Linked DNA regions of Xenopus tropicalis. The protein of the gene in region 3 interacts with the protein of the main gene of each other region in a biochemical or structural test. Links are inferred from orthologs where the notes say so. Each region holds a gene or a part of one and is shown on either strand. Other genes may lie near its edges.

Evidence for each region. The genes of interacting proteins can lie anywhere in the genome.
Region 1: the proteins of tjp2 (region 3) and ctnna1 form a complex in vitro, tested with the Homo sapiens proteins (2 studies listed by BioGRID and IntAct, with this or other methods). The link is inferred for Xenopus tropicalis from reciprocal best matches to the Homo sapiens genes TJP2 and CTNNA1.
Region 2: the proteins of tjp2 (region 3) and ocln form a complex in vitro, tested with the Homo sapiens proteins (3 studies listed by BioGRID). The link is inferred for Xenopus tropicalis from reciprocal best matches to the Homo sapiens genes TJP2 and OCLN.

Annotation. Positions count from the first base shown.
Region 1 is NC_030679.2:19,989,754-19,996,278, forward strand, and holds the start of ctnna1 (catenin alpha-1), read left to right. Parts: upstream 1-2,010; 5' UTR 2,011-2,235; intron 2,236-6,525. UniProt on the Homo sapiens protein: Associates with the cytoplasmic domain of a variety of cadherins. The association of catenins to cadherins produces a complex which is linked to the actin filament network, and which seems to be of primary importance for cadherins cell-adhesion properties.
Region 2 is NC_030677.2:182,415,581-182,422,076, forward strand, and holds the start of ocln (occludin), read left to right. Parts: upstream 1-1,981; 5' UTR 1,982-2,066; intron 2,067-6,496. UniProt on the Homo sapiens protein: May play a role in the formation and regulation of the tight junction (TJ) paracellular permeability barrier.
Region 3 is NC_030677.2:129,427,066-129,433,073, reverse strand, and holds part of tjp2 (tight junction protein ZO-2), read right to left. Parts: intron 4,639-6,008; coding exon 4,536-4,638; intron 4,022-4,535; coding exon 3,412-4,021; intron 217-3,411; coding exon 113-216; intron 1-112. UniProt on the Homo sapiens protein: Plays a role in tight junctions and adherens junctions. Acts as a positive regulator of RANKL-induced osteoclast differentiation, potentially via mediating downstream transcriptional activity.

The DNA of each region.
Region 1 (6,525 bases), on a different chromosome or scaffold from region 3:
TTTTTCCTCAGTCTGAGGAATCATGTATGCAGTGGCGTAACTTGTAAGTGCCTGACTGCCTGTCCATATTACCACCCACTGTCTGTTTCCAGTGTAGGGCAAATTAAGCCACACCACTGCTTGTATGACTGTGCAAAAAATGTATTTACATAGAAATATATATGTATTTGGGTTTATGGTGTCTCACAGGAGTCACTATTGACATTACTACATATGGCCAGAAGTAGTGGTAAGCAGTCAAGCCTTGGTTGCTGGAGTACTGCAGGGGAAGAGTTTTTTGGGTCAGCTTAATTTCTCTTAATTTAGAGCAACATGTTCCTTGTAGCACTGTAGTAGCCACGCTATTCTGATAATACTGGAAATAACCCCCTTCCAGTAAGAGTTGGAGAGATTGATTTTCATACTGAATTATCTCTATTCAGGGCTGTAACTAGGGATAGGCAGGGAGGCACATCTAGGGCGCAATCACTTTTGGTATTGAAGGAAGTTGCACTTTTCCCAAATTTTTTTCCTATAAAATTTCAATGATAGCCTATCTCCCTCCCCTACTTCGTCCAAATTAGTTCTACAAGCAAAAAACAACCAGCATTGTAATATACAGTACAAACAGTAAGTCAGTGCCAATGATAATCATGTAGCAGTTCACACTGCTGCACCAGGTTCCCACCCTTTACCCTTTAAAAATTTTATAGTGACAGTCATTTAAGCACCAGTCTCAGATCTCCTCATCACTTGAACGATTAGCAAAATTTTTAACCTGGTGGAGCAGGGCAGACACTGTCAGCTATGTTGAGGCCGGCAGTAATACTCTATAATAGAATGCTGAGGGACAAATTAATGTCTGTTTTCTGGGCTGGTAAGATGAGGCAGAACCAGAGTGATGGTTCAGGTTTAATCAGGAGCAGCTCTAAGTGCGTGATTTAGTCTAACCCACTGGCAAGGGCTGTGGTGGGGGGTTGCAGCTCACCACCCTTGCCTAAGGCATCAAACCTCCTTGGGCCGGCTATGGCTGTATTGTCCCTGTGTTTAGCCTATGAATCAAGAGCTGCTGATCTATCACTGAATAGTGTCTGCAATCAGAGTTAAGTGCTACTTCTATGTTAATACTTGCAGACTATGTGGGCTGGGGGATTGAGATACATAGAAAAAGGAGACACCAAACAGGAAAGGAAAACAACATATAGAGAAAGAGAACAACATAAGCTTAGCAAAAGGTGGAAAATGGCACCTGTAAAATGGAGATAGGAAAGAACAAGAGCAGGATAAAGTAGGGAACAAATGGCAAAAGGATAGGAGAGAATTGCTCTTAGAGAAAGGTGAAAAGGTAAAATAAAGAAAAGTGGTGGAGGAAAGAAAGCAGTAAGATGCTATTGAGCTGACACAAAAAGATCAGGGAAGGAGAAGGGATATAAGAAGAGAAAGAAATATAAAGGATAAGAAAGAGAAAAAGACCGTAAAATACAGGATTGCACCAAAAAATAAACATGTAAAAAATAGAGGTGTCCCGAGAGAATTATAGGTAAGATTCTCCTTACAGATAACATACAATTAGAAATATTAAATACAAATATTTTATTCAAATATATGTTTTCCAGGCGTTAAAACTATACAGGTATAACAGTAGCCTTAAATGGAGAGGGAGGGGTGGAATCTGCGCACCAGTTGCCATATTGCCCTGGGTGCTACAATACTTAGTTCCAGCTGAAACTATGTATCACGTTTAGTGTCATTTTACACTTTGGTGATGCATTTACTACACTGCGCCTACATCCTGAATATCTAATGTGCACGCAATCCAGGTTTTCATGACTTTTCCTCCAGTGTCTCACATAGCATTCTCTGGGGGCGAAACTACAGACCAACGCCTTTCTATGCCTGCCCTACCTGATACCGGGGTGTGGCATGCTGGGATTGCCCATCCAGGCCCCTCCCTTTTTTCATACTTTTTTGCGTTTCTTTGAGAAATAGTTAACAACTTTTAGAAAAATTCACCTCGAATTACAATCTTATAGCGAACCAAAGATAATTGACACGAAATTACTTTCGGCTCTCTGTCCCGGGTCCACTGTGGAATGAACCCTCTGGGAGGGGCTCTCAGACAGGAACTGCTCGTCTCATCCTGTTTCCTCCTACACTTTACGGAATAGGATAAAGTGGAATTCGTGAGTAAAGAATAGGCTCCTGCCATTAGCCTGAGCCTCCGCCCAAGTCGTTGTTGTGTGAACACCGACGAAGGTGAGTTACAAAAGTATTGTTTTAGAAGTTTGAACCTCGAAAAAGATATAGTTTTGTTGAAACTTTATGGCGTATTTGTAATTAAAGTATTTCAAAAATGAATATGGTTCCAGCCGAAGACCAAGTGTCCCGGGCCGCTGATTTTTTTTTTTTTTTTGTAATAGAAATGGTTAATAATTATTGGTATATGGGACGTTATTGAAACAATTCTGGAATATTTTGATGCTAAAATGATTACACTTACACGCCGCTATAGAACATATTGGTTATAGTTATTTCAATTGGTTTGAGACACTATCCGGCTGTGTATAGGGAAAGCAGGTTAGTACAGGGGAGCGGGCGTTTCAGGACTGAGAACGAAACGTTGTTTAGTTTCGCTCTGCGTTTTGTATTGGCAAAGAGAAATAAATCCGTGTTTTCGGCTTACGGGCGGTTGGGGAATTTTGTTTTGGACTGCTGCCCCCAGCCTCCCCCTACAACATGGCTGAAGCTGATAAAGCTAGCTGGAAGGCAAAAGAATTCAGATGTTTTGTTCTATGAAGTATAAGACTGTTGTATCGGAACAGATACCATGTGTAAGTGTGTTTTTTGTTACTTTTTTTGCAGTATGAGTAGAACTGTAGCAGAGTGTAGATTTTGTTAGTTTGGATGCAAACCTTTGCAGTGACAATAGTTCTGAGTGACAGCGGATTCCCAGAGCTGCTTTCTGGCCATATAAGATAAAAGGAGCTGGGAATGTCCGTGCTGTTGATAAGCTTCAAAATGCAGAGATTGACCTTGGAAACTACTTTAAAGGGGTAGTATAGCGACCTATAAAAGTTTAAAACATAAGTTAAAGGGATAATTTTTTTTTCTTTTTTTTTTTTTTATAATTAAGAGATCAGTGGTGTATGTGTGTATATAAGAGCAAACGGAGCACACCCTTAAGAGAATCAAACGCCCTGGGTGCTGGTCACATCGGATCTTATCTCTCTCTCTCTCTCTCTCTCTCTCTCTCTCTCATTCATACATATATATATATATATATATATATATATATATATATATATATATATATATATATATATATATATATATATATATATATATATATATATATATATATAATATATGCTGAGGCACACACTTATAGGGATAACAACCTGGGTGCAAATCAGATAAACAATGTAAATATATGTGTGTGTATATAGCATTCAAGTCAGAAAACTATGGTTTTTGATATTAAGTTACAACTGAAGGTAAATTAAAACTATTTCATGTTTGGTTTTTGTGCGCTTAATAAGTTTACCAGTCACAGATAATTTCTTTATATAATTGACTTCTGCTTATCTCCTCACTGGTAATCTGGTGTATCTACCTCACAAGAACAAAACATGTATTTTCAATTACAAAGCCATAGATTTTTTTTTTTTTTTTTTTTCATGGCAAAAAGTATATCCAGCAGAAGCCCTATTCATTATCTCTTTTTGAACAAGCTCGTATGTTGCCCTTTTTAAGGCTGATGTGGCATGGAGAGATTTAGTCGCCTGCGATAGATCTCTAATTAGTCTCTCCAAAATGCCTTTCCACTGGTAACAGTACGAATCACTAGTGGAAAGGCCAACGCATTGCTTTGGTTTTCCGAAGATGCCTCCGGAGGCAACTTTGCACAACTTCGGAAAACCGAAACGATTTATAGGCCTTTCCACCAGCAATTCATATTGTTGCCGGTGGAAAGGCATTTTGGAGATATTTGCTACCTGTGGCAGCAGAGATCAGTGTCGGACTGGCCCACCAGGATACCAGAAAAACTCCCAGTGGGCCCAGGTGTAAGTGGGCCCTCTTGCTCCTAACCATTTGGCCTGTTTCATGCTCATTCCCTATTTCTGAATGGGAAGAAAGAGGAGAAATAGAGGGAAGAATAGATGCTAGCATGTAAATAAAAGAGACTGGGAAAATAAAGAGGTTGGGTAAAGAAAGGAGGAAAAATAGTTTGGAAAGCGGGTCTAAGCTTTTCTGATGGGCCCCTGGGGTCCCAGTCCGACACTGGCAGAGATCTATTGCGGGCTACTAAATCTCTCCACAGGACATCAGCCTAAAGGTGTCCATACACTAGTAGATTCGCTCAGTTGCCAATTGAGCGGATCTTCTCCCAATATGCTCACCTAAAGGTGGGCGATATTGCACTAATTCAGCAACTGCGTACATAGGCGCCGCCAGATCGGGGACTGCATCAAGGAGCCGATGCTGTCCCCAATGCGACGGAAAATCAAACCTGCCCGATCAAAATCTGCCCAATTTTAGGTCAGATCTTGGTCTGGTAGGCCTGTCAGGGGTGCCCATGCATGGGCCGAAAAGCTGCTAAATCGATCTGAAGGACCTAAATCAGCAGCTAAAATCTGCCTGTGTATGGCCACCTTTATACTGCAACATGTAACAGTAAGCACTAAGTTGGCCATACACTTTTTAAGATACACTTCTTTGGCAAGGTCACCAGCTGAGAGGATCTTTGCCCAATTTGGTCACCCCTGCACCCCAGCCAAACTAGGGAGTTCCAATTGCTGGCATAGGGGCAAACAAGCGGGCCTGTGTGAAACTATTACCATTCTGATGTTTCCTGGTATCTGCATAGTAGAATTGTTATGAACAGAAGTTACAGAATGACTTGGTATAGTTACTTGGACAATGACTTGGTGACAACCTTAATGTGAATGATAGAAGACCCTGTTGCAAAAATTTAAGTAAAAGTAGATCACTGGAAAATCTTACTTCAAATAATAAAAATATGCTTAAAGGAGACATATCCTATAAAAATTATGAATGTACCAGTGAATTATACTCCTCTAGATATAGAAGGAATGTGCTTAAAAATGCTGTGTTTCTGACTGATTTATTGAGAAATTCCACAAAAACCCCACTAGCCCCGCCCATCTATTCCACTTCCTGCTGGCTGAATTCTCTGGATGAGCTGGGGAGCCGGCGGCACTGTAGGATAGGAACCAATCAGCAGCTAGGCTGACCTGATAGGGAACTGAAGCTGGTCTTTGCTTGTGTGAGTGCAGGGCTGTGATTGGCTCTCCCCCTCCTACTGTGCTTCTGGCAGGGACCGCTAGGACACGCCCACTCCATTTCACACTGGACGGAGAAATGATAGGATCTATAGGGAGCTCCAATAAAGGGGCCATTGTTACAGATAGGATTAATGTTTAGCACAAAGGGAAACCAGCACCGTATATTATTCATAATTGCCTACAAAATTAGCATTTTTCCAATTTATCCAATACGTCTCCTTTAATGTGGGGCCTTATTTTTCAGTATAATTTTGCAAAAAGTTGTGTACATCCTGACCAGTCCTCTAAAGCAGTATTCAGTTGTAAGATGCGTAATGGCTGGCTAGAAGCTGACAAGCTGCAGACAATACAATTCCTATACAGTATGTTGACGCAATGTTGTCAAATCAACCCTTTTTAGATATTTGAGAGGCAAGACTGCGTTCATTTCTCCAAACACATTATATCTATTTAAATAGAGGGTGGCACTGGTTGTAAGAGTTTAAAAACAAAACCTGTTGTGCTTCAGGTTTGCAAGGACCACATAACCAAGTCTAGCACCTATGTAAAACCCCTAGGTATATTTTCTACATTGTTACAGTGCATAGATGAGAAGTTACGAGATTCCACCATTCCAAAGCATCATAAGGCAGATGTGGTTTGAGTAAACTGATGGCAAATTGAAGCTCAGCCCCTTTGAAAACCAGGTGCATGTTTGTTGGAATTGTATTGCCTGAGGTACGGAAAGATCTGATTGGTCAGAGGTCTAGTTCTGTGTACTGTTGTAGGTGGGGACATGTTTTGTGAACAAAAAGTAGTTGTTGGCCTCCTAGATAAAAGGAGGTACTAGAGAAGATGATTTGTTTGGTTATGAATAAAGAAAAAGTCAAAATACAATGACAGCTCAATGAAAAGGCTATTATTGCAAATACATACCATCAACATATCTCATTAAATTCTCATTTCTATGTAATCAAGAATGTGAATTCAAATTATATATAAAATGTTAGAAAATCGCTTACTTCCTCGAATATAAATTGCCAGTACCTAAACTGATGATACTTCAAATCGCTTATTGCTCCGAATTGCTATGAGACCCTTTTTCGAGTGATTTTACAAAGAAAGCATTGTCATTCAAATCTATTGGAATCGCTGAAAGTAAAACCCACTGAGCACAAAGTCGCTGTGATTTCCCCATTGCCCTGAATGTCATTTCTAATTGTGGGTGGGGAATATGACACCTGGATTTGTGGGAAATAGA
Region 2 (6,496 bases), about 53 Mb from region 3:
TCCAGCATACACAACAAATGTGTAGAACACAAACAATAATTAGGAAGGCTGTATAGAATCATACTAAAGTATAGTAATGCAGATGAGAACCATGGGGGGCATGTAATTTTTCATGGGGAGACAAAATATCACTGAATGATGCAGGGGCTGTGACTGCACCATTGCCCATCCCCTATGAGGCCTGCTGGGAAGTTATCACAAGCGCTGCGGCACTAAGTAGCTCAGGGTGGCCAGCGCCAGAAATTAGGCTTATTCCTTGGGTACTGGAGCACTGGGGGTGCAAGCTTGTTAGCTCACTACAGCCTTCCGCCCAGCTTCTGTCTAAGGGTGAAGACACACTGGGCTACTAGTAGCAGCTACTTTTTCAAGGCTACTAAACTCCAGAAAATTCCTTGCCATAGACAATACTGAGATTTGCCTCTACTAAAAAACACGTAGAGACAATTATCAGTAAATGATTAGCATTGTGTTTTTTAGCAGTCAGGAAAAGTAGCTGCTACTAGTAGCTCTGAGTCTTCACCCTAAAGCTCAATTTTGAACAGTACTGAACTACATCCACTACAAGAGCTTGCTGGTCTTATTTATAGCAAAGAAATATTAACTTTAAATGCCCACTGACACCAGGTCTGGACTGTGATTCAAAATATATTCTGTCTATGGCATCACATAGCAGCCCCTCTGCAATTGCCAGGACCTACAGATTGCCAGCTCAGACCAGTCTTACACTATTCAAATACAGAGCAGGAGTCCATTATTTTTCTGTTAATCATCCATTAACTGTCTGTGGTACTGTGCGGCGCTCCCAGTTACTCAAAATATCACAGGGCTCTCTTGCTTCAATGCAGGGCAAAAGCGAAAAGAATGGCACCCCTGGAGTAAGGTGTCAAAATTGCACATGAGAAAAAGAAAATTGCAAATGTTTTGGGTTAAAGAAAAAATTGCTGATATGGAGAATAAAAAAAGCTGTAGGGGGTGAACATGAGGAGAGAATTAAGGCTGAAGACCAGGCAACATTTTGGCCCTTTATCAAGAAGTGGAAGAGTGAAGGAGGAGAGAAATACAGTTTATTGTAACATGAAGAAAAATTAAAATATATATATATATTAAGGAGAAAAAAAGATTAAAATATGAAATAGAAGAAAATGAAATTAATTTAAGAAGAAAACGTGATACATCTTTTTCAGCAGTGACTAAAAGCATTCAGTTGTACGCTGGGGCGTGGGGCAGTTACTATTTGGCATCTGACACTAGGATTGCCTTCTTTTCTAAACAAACAAAAAACAAATACTGGCCCATATTTTTTTTCCCTCTTTACTGACATTGATACCAGGAACCATTTTTACTGGGCAGGACAGTGTAATCCTATCGGGCACTGATGGCGGCACTAAAAGGGGGAGTTCTGGTGCAATTTGGCCCCACTAGTTACTTTACTTGTAAAACAAACACTATAAACTTACACGAAAAAAGTATCTAGATCACTTATATTAACCATTGGTTGATTAAGCATTTATTCTGAAAGTTTAGTTTTCATTAAAATTTCCCCCAATTGCGTAAGTAAAGCACAAACTGAGATCGTTATTTGCTCGGATCAAAGCTCACAGGTAATATAAACTCTCCCCTGACCCCACACGCATTGTGATACCCGCCCTCACTATACACACAGCAGGCTCAGCCATTCGGAAATGATTATTATTATTATGAGAGAAACAAGGCAAGTTCTTTCCCCTGACAGGGACATGTAAGCTGCACACAGAAACAACAGCGCTCACAAAGCACCGGCCGAAACCTGCTCGTATGGAGTCACACAAACCAGTTTATTCTCCCTACTGAGTTTCAGGTGCAGCCTTCCCGCCACGCCCTGACCCTCAGGGGAGAGGGGGAGGAGCCAAGGCGGGGCTGAGAGGGACGGAGAGGTGTAGGGGGAGACCGAGGCAGAGCAGCAGGTTGCGGGCTTTGGGGAACGTTGGCTCCGTTCTGGGCGCGGAGAAGTGATTTGTTTCTGAACTTTCTGTTGGGTCAGAGGATCCGAGGGGGCTCCCGCTGGGGAATAGCAGGTGTTTATACAGGTGAGAATCATAAATTATGTATTTAATTTGCTGGTTATATTATCTTTAGGGACATTATCCCTAGCTCTATTTCCTGTTACACAGAGAGTGTTGGTTGTTTAGATAACAGGGCTAGTAAAGTGACTCCATTTTGCTGTGTGTGTACTGGAGTTCTGCCCTAGGGAGAGGAGTAAATGTTAGATACTCATTATAAATAACAGAAGGCTGTGGGGGGTATTGCCCTGTATGTACTAAAGGTGGCCATACACGGGCAGTCAGTTGGGCAAGTTTAAAAATGGGGCCAAGGACCACAATGGCTTGTTCCAAGGCTAATTCCTTCCACTTGATAGCCTGCATACATTCGTTGGAACTGCCCGATATCGCCCACCTCAAGGTTGGTTTATTGTGGAAACATTCACTTATCTGGTTACCTGGCCAAACAAGCGGATCTTTAAATGTATGCCCCACTTACCCTAAAACTGGCTTCTGTGCAAACAATTGCTTCTCTTGCGCACTGTGTATAAATATAATTATAACCCTGGGAGAACACTTGTGTATGGTGCCCTGATTGGAAGTGAACCCGGGGTTGATTCCTGCCAGGGCATTATTCACAAAACCTATAGGTTTTCACAGGGTACGCTAATTACTTCCCACTGTCTAAATATAAATATTTAGTAGAAAAACAAGGTCAGTTAACAAATTCACTTCTTACAATAGCTTTTGATGCCCCAATGTTTCATATGTGGTCCCTGGTGTTTCTTACCCAATTCCGTTGGAGTTGGAAAGTCGCTGAGATCTGTGAGGGCTAAAACTCTTGGTTCAGTTTGGCTCTGTGGCAGAATTAGCACATTTATTTATTTTGTTATTAAAATTCAACTATATATGGCAAAGACTGGTACTGGTTGTTATGTGCATTTTACACCATTTTCTGTTATATTACTACTTACGCCCATTTCCCAAAGTTTACTGCTCAGACCGTGCATTTTGGGTGCTCTGAATAACTTGGCAAGACATCAAGAAACTGCTGTTAAATCAAAACAACTCTTCAGGGAGGAACTGTTATTTTATTGGGCAGTTTGTAACAGAATGCCTTGCTTATCTGGTGCTTGTATCAAATTTATTTTTTTTACTGTCTATTGCATTATTTGGAAAGTGCTCTTTGTAATGTAATATTTCAGTAATGCAGTCCCCAGTCACTTGCGATGGGGTAGGTTTTGGAAAAAAGCAATATGGTGTGTTGTGAGGGATGTCTGATTTCTGTTACAGGTAACTGCAAGTGTCCTTAAAGGTGGCCACACACGTGTCGATTTCCGATCTTTCGTGCGACCATCAGTCGCCTTCTATGGCGCCCGATCAAAATCTTTTGACCTGGCCGATTGACTCGCCGACTTGCCATACACGCACCGAATATCGAAACAGGGTTTCGTACGATATTATCGGTGCGTTTATGGCCAGCTTAAAGGAGTACTAAAACCTAACTAAAGAAGTAGGGTAGAAATGTACATTATGTTTTGGGCTTCTATACCAGCAGGGCCATGTCTATATTAGAAAAGCCACGGGCCTGTGCCTAGGGTGGCAGCCTCCGGAGGAATTCTCCCCAGCCACCACCAGATGTTTTCTGGGTAAATCTGGCAGCGGAGCTGGGGGCTGAGGGGGTCCCGCGAGGATTGCGGCGGAAGTGATATCACTTCTGTAACCTAGGGGGTGTAATATGGTGTGGTGCCTAGCCCAAGGCAACCACAGCCCTCAGTGTAATTAGCATCAGAATGTAATAATCAGCCCTGTAGCATTGGCTTATATGACAGACAAATCAAATTTTCTGCTTGATAATTTGCAACAACCCTTAAGGGTCGTGACAGACGGGGAGATTAGTCGCCCACAAAAAATCTCCCTTGTAGCGGGCGACTAATCTCCCCGATATGCCATCCCACCGGTGAGAATGTTAATCGCCAGTGGGATGGTATACGCGGCGCTGCCATCGCCGAAGTTGCCTTGAGAGGAAACTTCAGTGATTTCGGCCCCATGTATGCGATCCCACTGGCGATTTACATTCTCACCGGTGGGATGGCATAATGGGGAGATTAGTCGCCGTCACGAGCGACTAATCTCCCCGTCTGTCACGGCCCTAAGATTAGCTTCTCTGCAGCAGCTCAGAGCTCACTAGCCATGTCACAGACACAAAATAAGGAGCTCCTGTGACAATTCGGCTGGTGAAGTACAGTGTATAAAATATTGCATTTGTAGCCATTTAACTGCCCAGTACAGGTACGGGACCTTATCCAAAATTCTTGGGACCTGAGGTTTTTCGGATAAAGGGGTCTTTCCAAAATTTGGATCTTCATACCTTAAGCCTACTAAAAAAATAATTTATGGATAAATTAAACCAAATATGATTTTTATATCTCCAATAAAGAATTTGTTATATCTTAGTTGGGATCAAGCACAAGGTACTGTTTTATTATTACAAAGAAAAAGGAAATCCATTATTAAAAGTCTGAATTGTAGCTTTCAAGATAACGGATCGCATACCTGTATTGTGCACTTTGATATTATAGAGATATGGATTACTGGGCTGGGCTTCTTAAGGGTAATGGCACTTTGACTGTCACACCTTCAAACAGACTAAGTGCTTGAAACTGCCCCACTATAGACATGCATTGATGGTGCTTGTATCCTAATGGCTGTATAGGGTACGATTTGGGGTGTACAATTATTCACAAAAGCAGAATGACTAATCTGTTGATGTTTGCATGTATCTGCAACCCTGTTACTCTGGCAAGGGCGGCCTCTCCTCTGGTTTGGGTTCTGTTTATGGTAACACTTACTTATTATGAAATGTCCCTGGTACTTTCTATGTACTTAAATGTCTTGCTCTTCCAGCAACAGACAGAATATATAAATAGTCGGTACATGTGTGATAACAATATAAACCAGACTTTCTTGCATTTGTTCCCTAATTATGTACCAAAGTAACTTATATATAGATTTTATTTGCATCCATTATGTATAAATAAATACCTGGTTACTCGCAGCCGCCCAGCTCAGTTTTGCTACTTGGCTAACCTTGCCATTAGTGCATCCATAATATTTACAAGTGTAGACTTATCAAGTAAATGTTTCAACAAAACCATTCCTGTGTGCAGTAAAGTGCACCTTAGTGTAATATATAAGGACTATCCCAGGTTAATATGGAATTCAGTGACCTTACAAAGCCACAAGCCTCTTGTATATTTTGATGCTCAAATAATTGGTGAGTTAATGAGCATTTCATTCCAGTTATCATAAAGAGGGGTTATACTGCACAGGATGGTTTTCTGACCTCTTTACAGAAAAGCATTGAAGTACAATTAAAGTACAGAATCTCTCCGGGGGCCTCTTCCCTTTCCTCCCAGAAAGTGTTCTTCAGTCATGGCCCCATGTTTCACAGCAGGGTTGTTCCTGTGCTAGGATACAGGATTCTTATGTGCTAATGCCACAATTGTAACTGCTGACTCTCAGCCAATAAAGCGCCATGAGGCCTTGAAATGTTAGGGAAAATAACTTGCCTTTTTGAATTTTTGTTTTACAGGTTCTGCTTGTTTAAACAAATGTATTGTTTGTAGTGTGTAGAAAAGTGCGCTTTATGGTCAGTTAAGCCAGAGTTGTAACAATAAATACATTTTTACATCACAGCTATCCAGCTGGAAACATTGGGTTGTGCAGCTCTCCAAGGAATTTCTCTCTTCCCCCACTAAGGCTGACGAGACCCATTTGTAGCCCCACATTTCTATATTATGCAGGAAGACATGGGCAGAACTGCTCCGCCTACTATACTATAATGATGTCCCGTGTCAAGGACAGGGATTCTAAACCTATAGGTCAAGACCCAAAATGAGTCTCCATGTTGTTTAGGGTGGGGCTTAATTTCACCTTTAATATTGTAAATCTGTAAAATGAGGCAAATTCTTTTGAACCTATTTTTGCTAAATCCAAGATTTAACCTGTACCCTTTAAGGAGAATGTTTAAAAAATCTGGTCTAGAAACAGTATGATAGTAACATAGTTATGTGTTTCTTTTTGGATTTATCTGTGTACCTGTTTCTCTCATCTTCATATTGGATTCCATTGTTCTTTATCTTAGGCCTAATAGTTTGCCAAAGGGATAGGTAAGGTCTTTCTTAATTATTCATCAGCCAAGTCAGCTCTTACATCGGCAGGCACACCAGAATCCCTGGGTCCAAGTCCTGCTAGGAACTTCAGAAAACCTTTTGGTGATGATGCTGGTACCTAAGGTGGGGTGGGGAAGGTTCTGATAAGGAGACTAATTTATAAAATTGATATAATTATTTAGGAAAAAATCAAATATAAATACTATTTCTTGGTGTTTAATACTATGACGTATTAGCTCATATAATTTAATCATGGAAGAAATGTGAATCTCTCTTGATCTGCTAGATATAAAATGAAAGAAA
Region 3 (6,008 bases):
TTGCAAGCAAGGTCATTATGTGCATGCACAGGGATACATAAGCAGTAATCTACATGGAGTATGGCAGAAGTGTAGAGGTTTGTAATCACATGCACCAAAAGTCGTAACATACCTTAAGAACAATGTCTCCTTCATGGAGGTTTCCATCTCTCCTTGCAAGACCTGTATTTGTCATTTCTTTTATGAAAATCTGACTTCCAAGTCGCAAACCATATTCTGCAGGGCAGAAAAGGAGTCATGATGCTTAAGGTGCATGCTTTTAAAGGTGTGTTCAAAAATATTGTCATTTTAACTCTATGGTGTGGCATGTATTTGTAAAGCTGACACACATTAAAGAAAAAAAAAGAAAACAATCAACTGTAAAAACACAATTTTTCCTCAATCTTACTGCCAAAATTTTCTCTCTGCCTGAAATAGGTAACAGCATTGAGGTGCTATATTCTGCATTAATCTGGTGTAACTTACTACACACCTTTCAAAACACAATAATTAGTTCTCTAAAATGGATTCATTCATGTGGAAGAGTTTTATAAATGCATCATGTAGTTTTTGGGGTGTAAAACACAGCTTTATAAATATACCCCATAGGAGTAGTCAACACTACATAGAATAGTCATTATAAATGTAAAGTGTAAACAAAGGGGCACAAAAAATGCATTTAACCACTTCTTGGCGGTAATGCCCTTTACCATGTGTTCTATGTAAAGGGAAAATTAAAACCCAACATAAATAATATACCTACAGTTTATGTCATGTCAAAGAGTTCCTGTACAGAAGTCATAAGACACATAACTGCATGTATAATGTTGAAGCCCATAGCACTCCGGTTATGGGCCTGCTCCCACTGGCCTGTGTCATTTGCTAGGTTCAAAACTGGGGTAGGGTTCCATGTTGGTAGCCATGTGCATGGATTTATTTAACATTAAAGGACTGTGCAGGACAGCTAAATATATAATACAGATTTATGGCAAAAAGCAGTGATTCCCAACCAGTGGCTCGTGTTGCTCACCAACCCCTTGGATGTTGCTCTCAGTGCCCCCAAACCTGGTAGTTATTTTGGAATTCCTGACTTGTTGGCAAGTTTTGGTTGAATAAAAACAAGATTTACTACCAAATAAAGCCCCCTGTAAGCTGACAGTCCAATAGCCAATCTTAGCCCTTATTTGGCACCTCCATGAACTTTTATGATGCTTGTGTTGCCTAGCAGCTACCCAATAGCCAATCTTAGCCCTTATTTGGCACCTCCATGATGCTTGTATTGCTCTCCAAGTCTTTTTACATTTGACTGCGGCTCACAAGTAAGAACGTTTGAGGACCCCTGGCATAAAGTGTTGGCGGGGTTTAGGGCAGTGACACTCTCTCAAGGCAACTTCAGCAAATCGAGGCGCCGCGTATGCCATCCCACCGGCGATTTACATTCTAGCTGGTGGGATGGCACTGCGGGGAAATTAGTGGCCCGTGACAAATCTCCCCATGTGTCACTGCCCTTAAGCTACACATGCTTTTGCTGCAGCTCTAGTTGCCCGATAATACAACTGAAGAGCGATGAACAATGAAGGTCTGCCTATACCTCAGAGGGGGTTAAAGTAATTTCCTTTGCTAATCGCTAGTGTAATCTATTCAACCTAAATGATAAATCAAAGTGCCTGCAGTTCAATTTAAAGATGGATTACATGCAAGGGCAGAATCTCAGTCCTAAGAAATTTATGTAGAGACACTTTTTAAATCGATCACCAGCAAGTGAAGGGTCTTTAGTAAACCTTCTGAGTAACCAATACCCCTGCACATTTCATTACTCAGACACTCCTACGCAGTATTTCCTCATATATCTAGAAGCCTTAGAAGAAATAGGGAATTGCATGGCCAAATCAAGTCCCTGGTCTGTACTCCCTGAGGTCATCAATAAATATCCAAGGAACTGATTTATTCACACCTATTCCTTCATATAATTAAAGTCAGTTTTTAATAAACTGTTGAAAAGGCACAATCTACTCAAGGCAATGTATTATATAAATAGCTAAACTATATATTTCTGCCTTACAGTTCAGCATTATAATTCAGTTTGTTTAATGCAAGGTGAAGTTAATATTTAAAGATAATTCATTTCTAAAAGCAAGGGCAAAAATAATTTAAAACTCAAATTTCCACATTATATATCAAGGCTACATGATCCTAACTAAGATACAATCAATCCTTATTGGTGGCAAAACAATCCTATTGTGTTTACTTAGTATTTCAATGATTTTTAGTAAACTTATGGCACAAAGATCCAAATTCTGAATAGACCCCTTATCTGAAAAACCCCTGTTCCTGAGCCTTCTGAATAGCAGACCTCATAAACCAGAAAAGATGGCAAACCTCCATATACCAGGGTGTATCTTTAAAGAAAGCAGGCCCTGCAAATGCTGGGGAGCCCAGGAGGTATAGGGGGCCCATTGGAACACAGACTAATAAGTAGTTTCAATATTGGTTTATGAAATATATCTAAATCTTAAAAGCTTAGGGGGGCCCTAAAATGATTTTACTGTGTGGCACAGTATCTTCTAGTTATACCACTGCTATAAACCTTTATTTTTTTCCTCTTTTGTTTTGGTATAGTGAAAATATTATAATATACAACATATTATAATATTTATTTTTTGTAGGTTCTAGTTTTAGTGCCTCATATTGCAGTCTCAATGACCATCTTTAGGGTGAAGACACACAGAGCTACTAGCAGCAGCAGCTACTTCTCACGGCTACTAAAATAGACAATTCTGATCATTTACTGATAATTGGTCCCTATGTGTGTTTAGTAGCCGTGACAAGTAGCTGCTACTACGTTGATCCATATGTCCTAGCAGCAGCTACTAAACTCCAGAAAATACTCTGCCATAGACAATACTGAGAATTGCCTCTGCTTAAACACACGTAGAGACAATTATCAGTAAATTATCAGGATTGTCTATTTTAGTAGTCACATCAAGTAGCTGCTACTAGTAGCTTCATGTGTTTTCACCCTTAGGGCAAGTGGTACACAGGGAGATTAGTCGCCCCACGACAACGCGACTAATCTCCCCGCAATGCAATCCCACCAGCTAGAATGCAAACTGCCGGTGAGATGGCATACGCGCCACTATAATGTCCCGCAGTCGCCTGAAGTTGTCTTGAGACAACTTGACTTATCTCCCCATGTACCACTGCCCTAAGGGCTCTGGTACACGGGGAAATTAGTCACCCGCGACAAATCTCCCTGTTCGCGGGCTACTAATCTCCCCGAGTTGCCATCACCTGCTATCCCACCGGTGAAAATGTAAGTCGGGGAGATTAGTCGCCCGCGAACAGGGAGTTTTGTCGAAAATCCTGCCTTTCTGATTGCAAAGCTTGCTGTCAAGAGCAGACTGCTAAATATGTCTGTATTTATAATCCTACCTTCACTGGGCTTGTTTTTACTAAGCAAAACACTGATGGGCTTATCATGTCCCTTGTGAGCTGCAGCAGATTTTCTGTGTGGTTCAGGTGAAGGACTGTGGGACTGAAGCCTATCACGAGCACGATTCACTGGCATCTCCCTCTCACTCCTGTAGTCAGGTGCTAGTCTCCTGCCGTTGCCTCGGTCTGGGCTGTAGTCTCCACTGTAGCTGCGTTCAAAGGATTCCTCTCTGTCCACACTCTTTTTGTGATCTCTTTTGTATCTACGCTCCTCACTCTGGTCACGGTCTAGACTTCTACCCCTACTGCGCTCCCGCCTGTATTCTCGCTCATCGTCCAGATCCCTCTCCCGGCTTCGCCCACGAACCCAGTCTTGATCCCTGTCGTAGGAACGACCTCTTTCCTGGTCCTTGCTGTAGCCTCTGTCTGGACTCGATTCTCTACTGTGATGACCGTTTCCACTATGCCAACTCCTCTCGCTGTAGCCACTGTAAGCACTTCTGTGTTCAAAGGGTCCATCATCGTCTACAGCATCAATATCTCTAGGGTCCAGCTCAGGAGAAGGTGACCTTCTTGCAGTCACCTGAACTTTTCGAGGTCTTTTCACAACCTAGTACAGATTGAAGAAATCCGTAAAATATTATTTGGTATTAGGGTCAGAACTGAAATACAGACAAGTGTGGTCTACTGTTTCCAAAACAAAAATCTGCTAAACACGTCCATTTACAATACAGGTCACATATACCAATACAAAAAGTCAAATAGAGACCAGTTTGACTCATTGCTTCACTGTATACAAACACATCATAGTCATAATTGCAGCCAAAATGGTCTATATTTGACTTTGTGTATTGGTCTATGTGACCTGTACTGGCAATGTTGGTTTGTAAATCTATTTGTCAATGGTCATTACTGTTTGCACATATTATCACTGGCCAAATGGATAACTGGCCACCCATCTGATTAGATTGTTTAAACCTGTGTTGGGATCCCAGTGTGTGCCGCAAAATTGGTCAATAGTTTGCCTGTTTGGCTGTTGTGTTAAAATGGACATCTGTTTGTGTGTATTACTCAGGACCCAAAACAAATCCTCACAAGTTGTAGCCATCAAAGCTGACACTTACTATGACGGCTGTTTTTCCACATTTCCGTAGCTGCTGAACTGCAAATGCATGGAACACATTATCCATAAGTGTCCCATTAACCATAACCACACGATCATTTACTCTGAAAAAACATGGAAGAGAGCATTACTCTTAAACCACTGGTAAAATACATAAAGCATTTTCATATTAGAATCGTCAAAATCTTCCAACATGCCTTAAAGGAGAAGGAAAAGTAAAAACTAAGTAAGCTTTATCAGAAAGGTCTATGTAAATACAGCCATAAGCACTCACAGAAATGCTGCACTGAGTTCTCTGTAAAAAGATTAGTCGTGTCTGTTTTCCTCTGCCAGAGATGCAGCTTTCAGCTTTTTCCTCTCTGCTGCTCCCCCCTCCCTCAAGAATGCTAAGAACTCACTCCCCCCCCTTAGGAATGTGGATCTGAGCCAATTAGCAGGAAGCTGACTCATAGTCTAACTAACTGAGCATGTTCACTTGGTCTGGGTGTCTGTGCAGGAGTGAGGCATTATGGGAACTTTCTTTACACAGCTCAGCAGTTTTTCTTCCTGTCTGGCATCTGATCATCTGAACGGGAGAAATATGGGGAGACTTAAGGGCACAATTGAGACAACTGAAGGTATGCCTGCAGCTTGAGATTAACTCTTTATTAGCCTTTCCTTCTCCTTTAATAGAAGGGAAGTTCAGGAACATGACTATCATTGAACATTCCTCTCTCTCTCTCTATCACATCCATGTATCAAAATTATAAAATGTAATAAAAGATTTTTGTTTCCCTAATTATATAATTTTACAACCAATTAGTTCCTTTGAAAACACCAGTAGAGAGAAGATACAATGGAACACTTTGATGTTTGAAAACACTGCTGTTTGTGCACACTACAGTAAAGTTATGTTTTGACCCTAATATCACAAAGAAACTGGCGACTGAGCCCCCTATGGCTCAAAAATCCCTATGTAGAGGCAAAGAATAAAGAGGCCTATGAGGAATTCTGGGACTCTAATGCTAATACTGCCACTCCAAACATATTATGGGACACAAGCAAAGCCCAAGTAAGGCAAGCAGAGGGGGAGCTGGCTAAAGCGGAGAGGGAGCATGCTAGCTAAGGTGCAGGCTTCCTCCACCACAATGGCACACATCCTAACCCCCAACAGGTGCATACGCCACAGAACACCCCATTGTATCAAGGGCTGTATAGTTCAATCGTAAAATATACCAACTCTCTCAATACCTAGATATTATAAAATACCATCATTGCCACGGAGCACTCAAGCACTTCTTGACTATCCATTATCCACTCAGGGAACAGAATTGGGTTTAGCAGAATTACCTTCCAATAAAACCCCAGGCCCTGACAGACTCACCTGTTGGAAACTCTTCAACATGTCTATGACACTGAAGCCCTTTCCTCATCTGACACTGAGCCCTTAAATCTTCCATTTTAAAACGAGGGGAAGATCCAACAGAATGTTTCT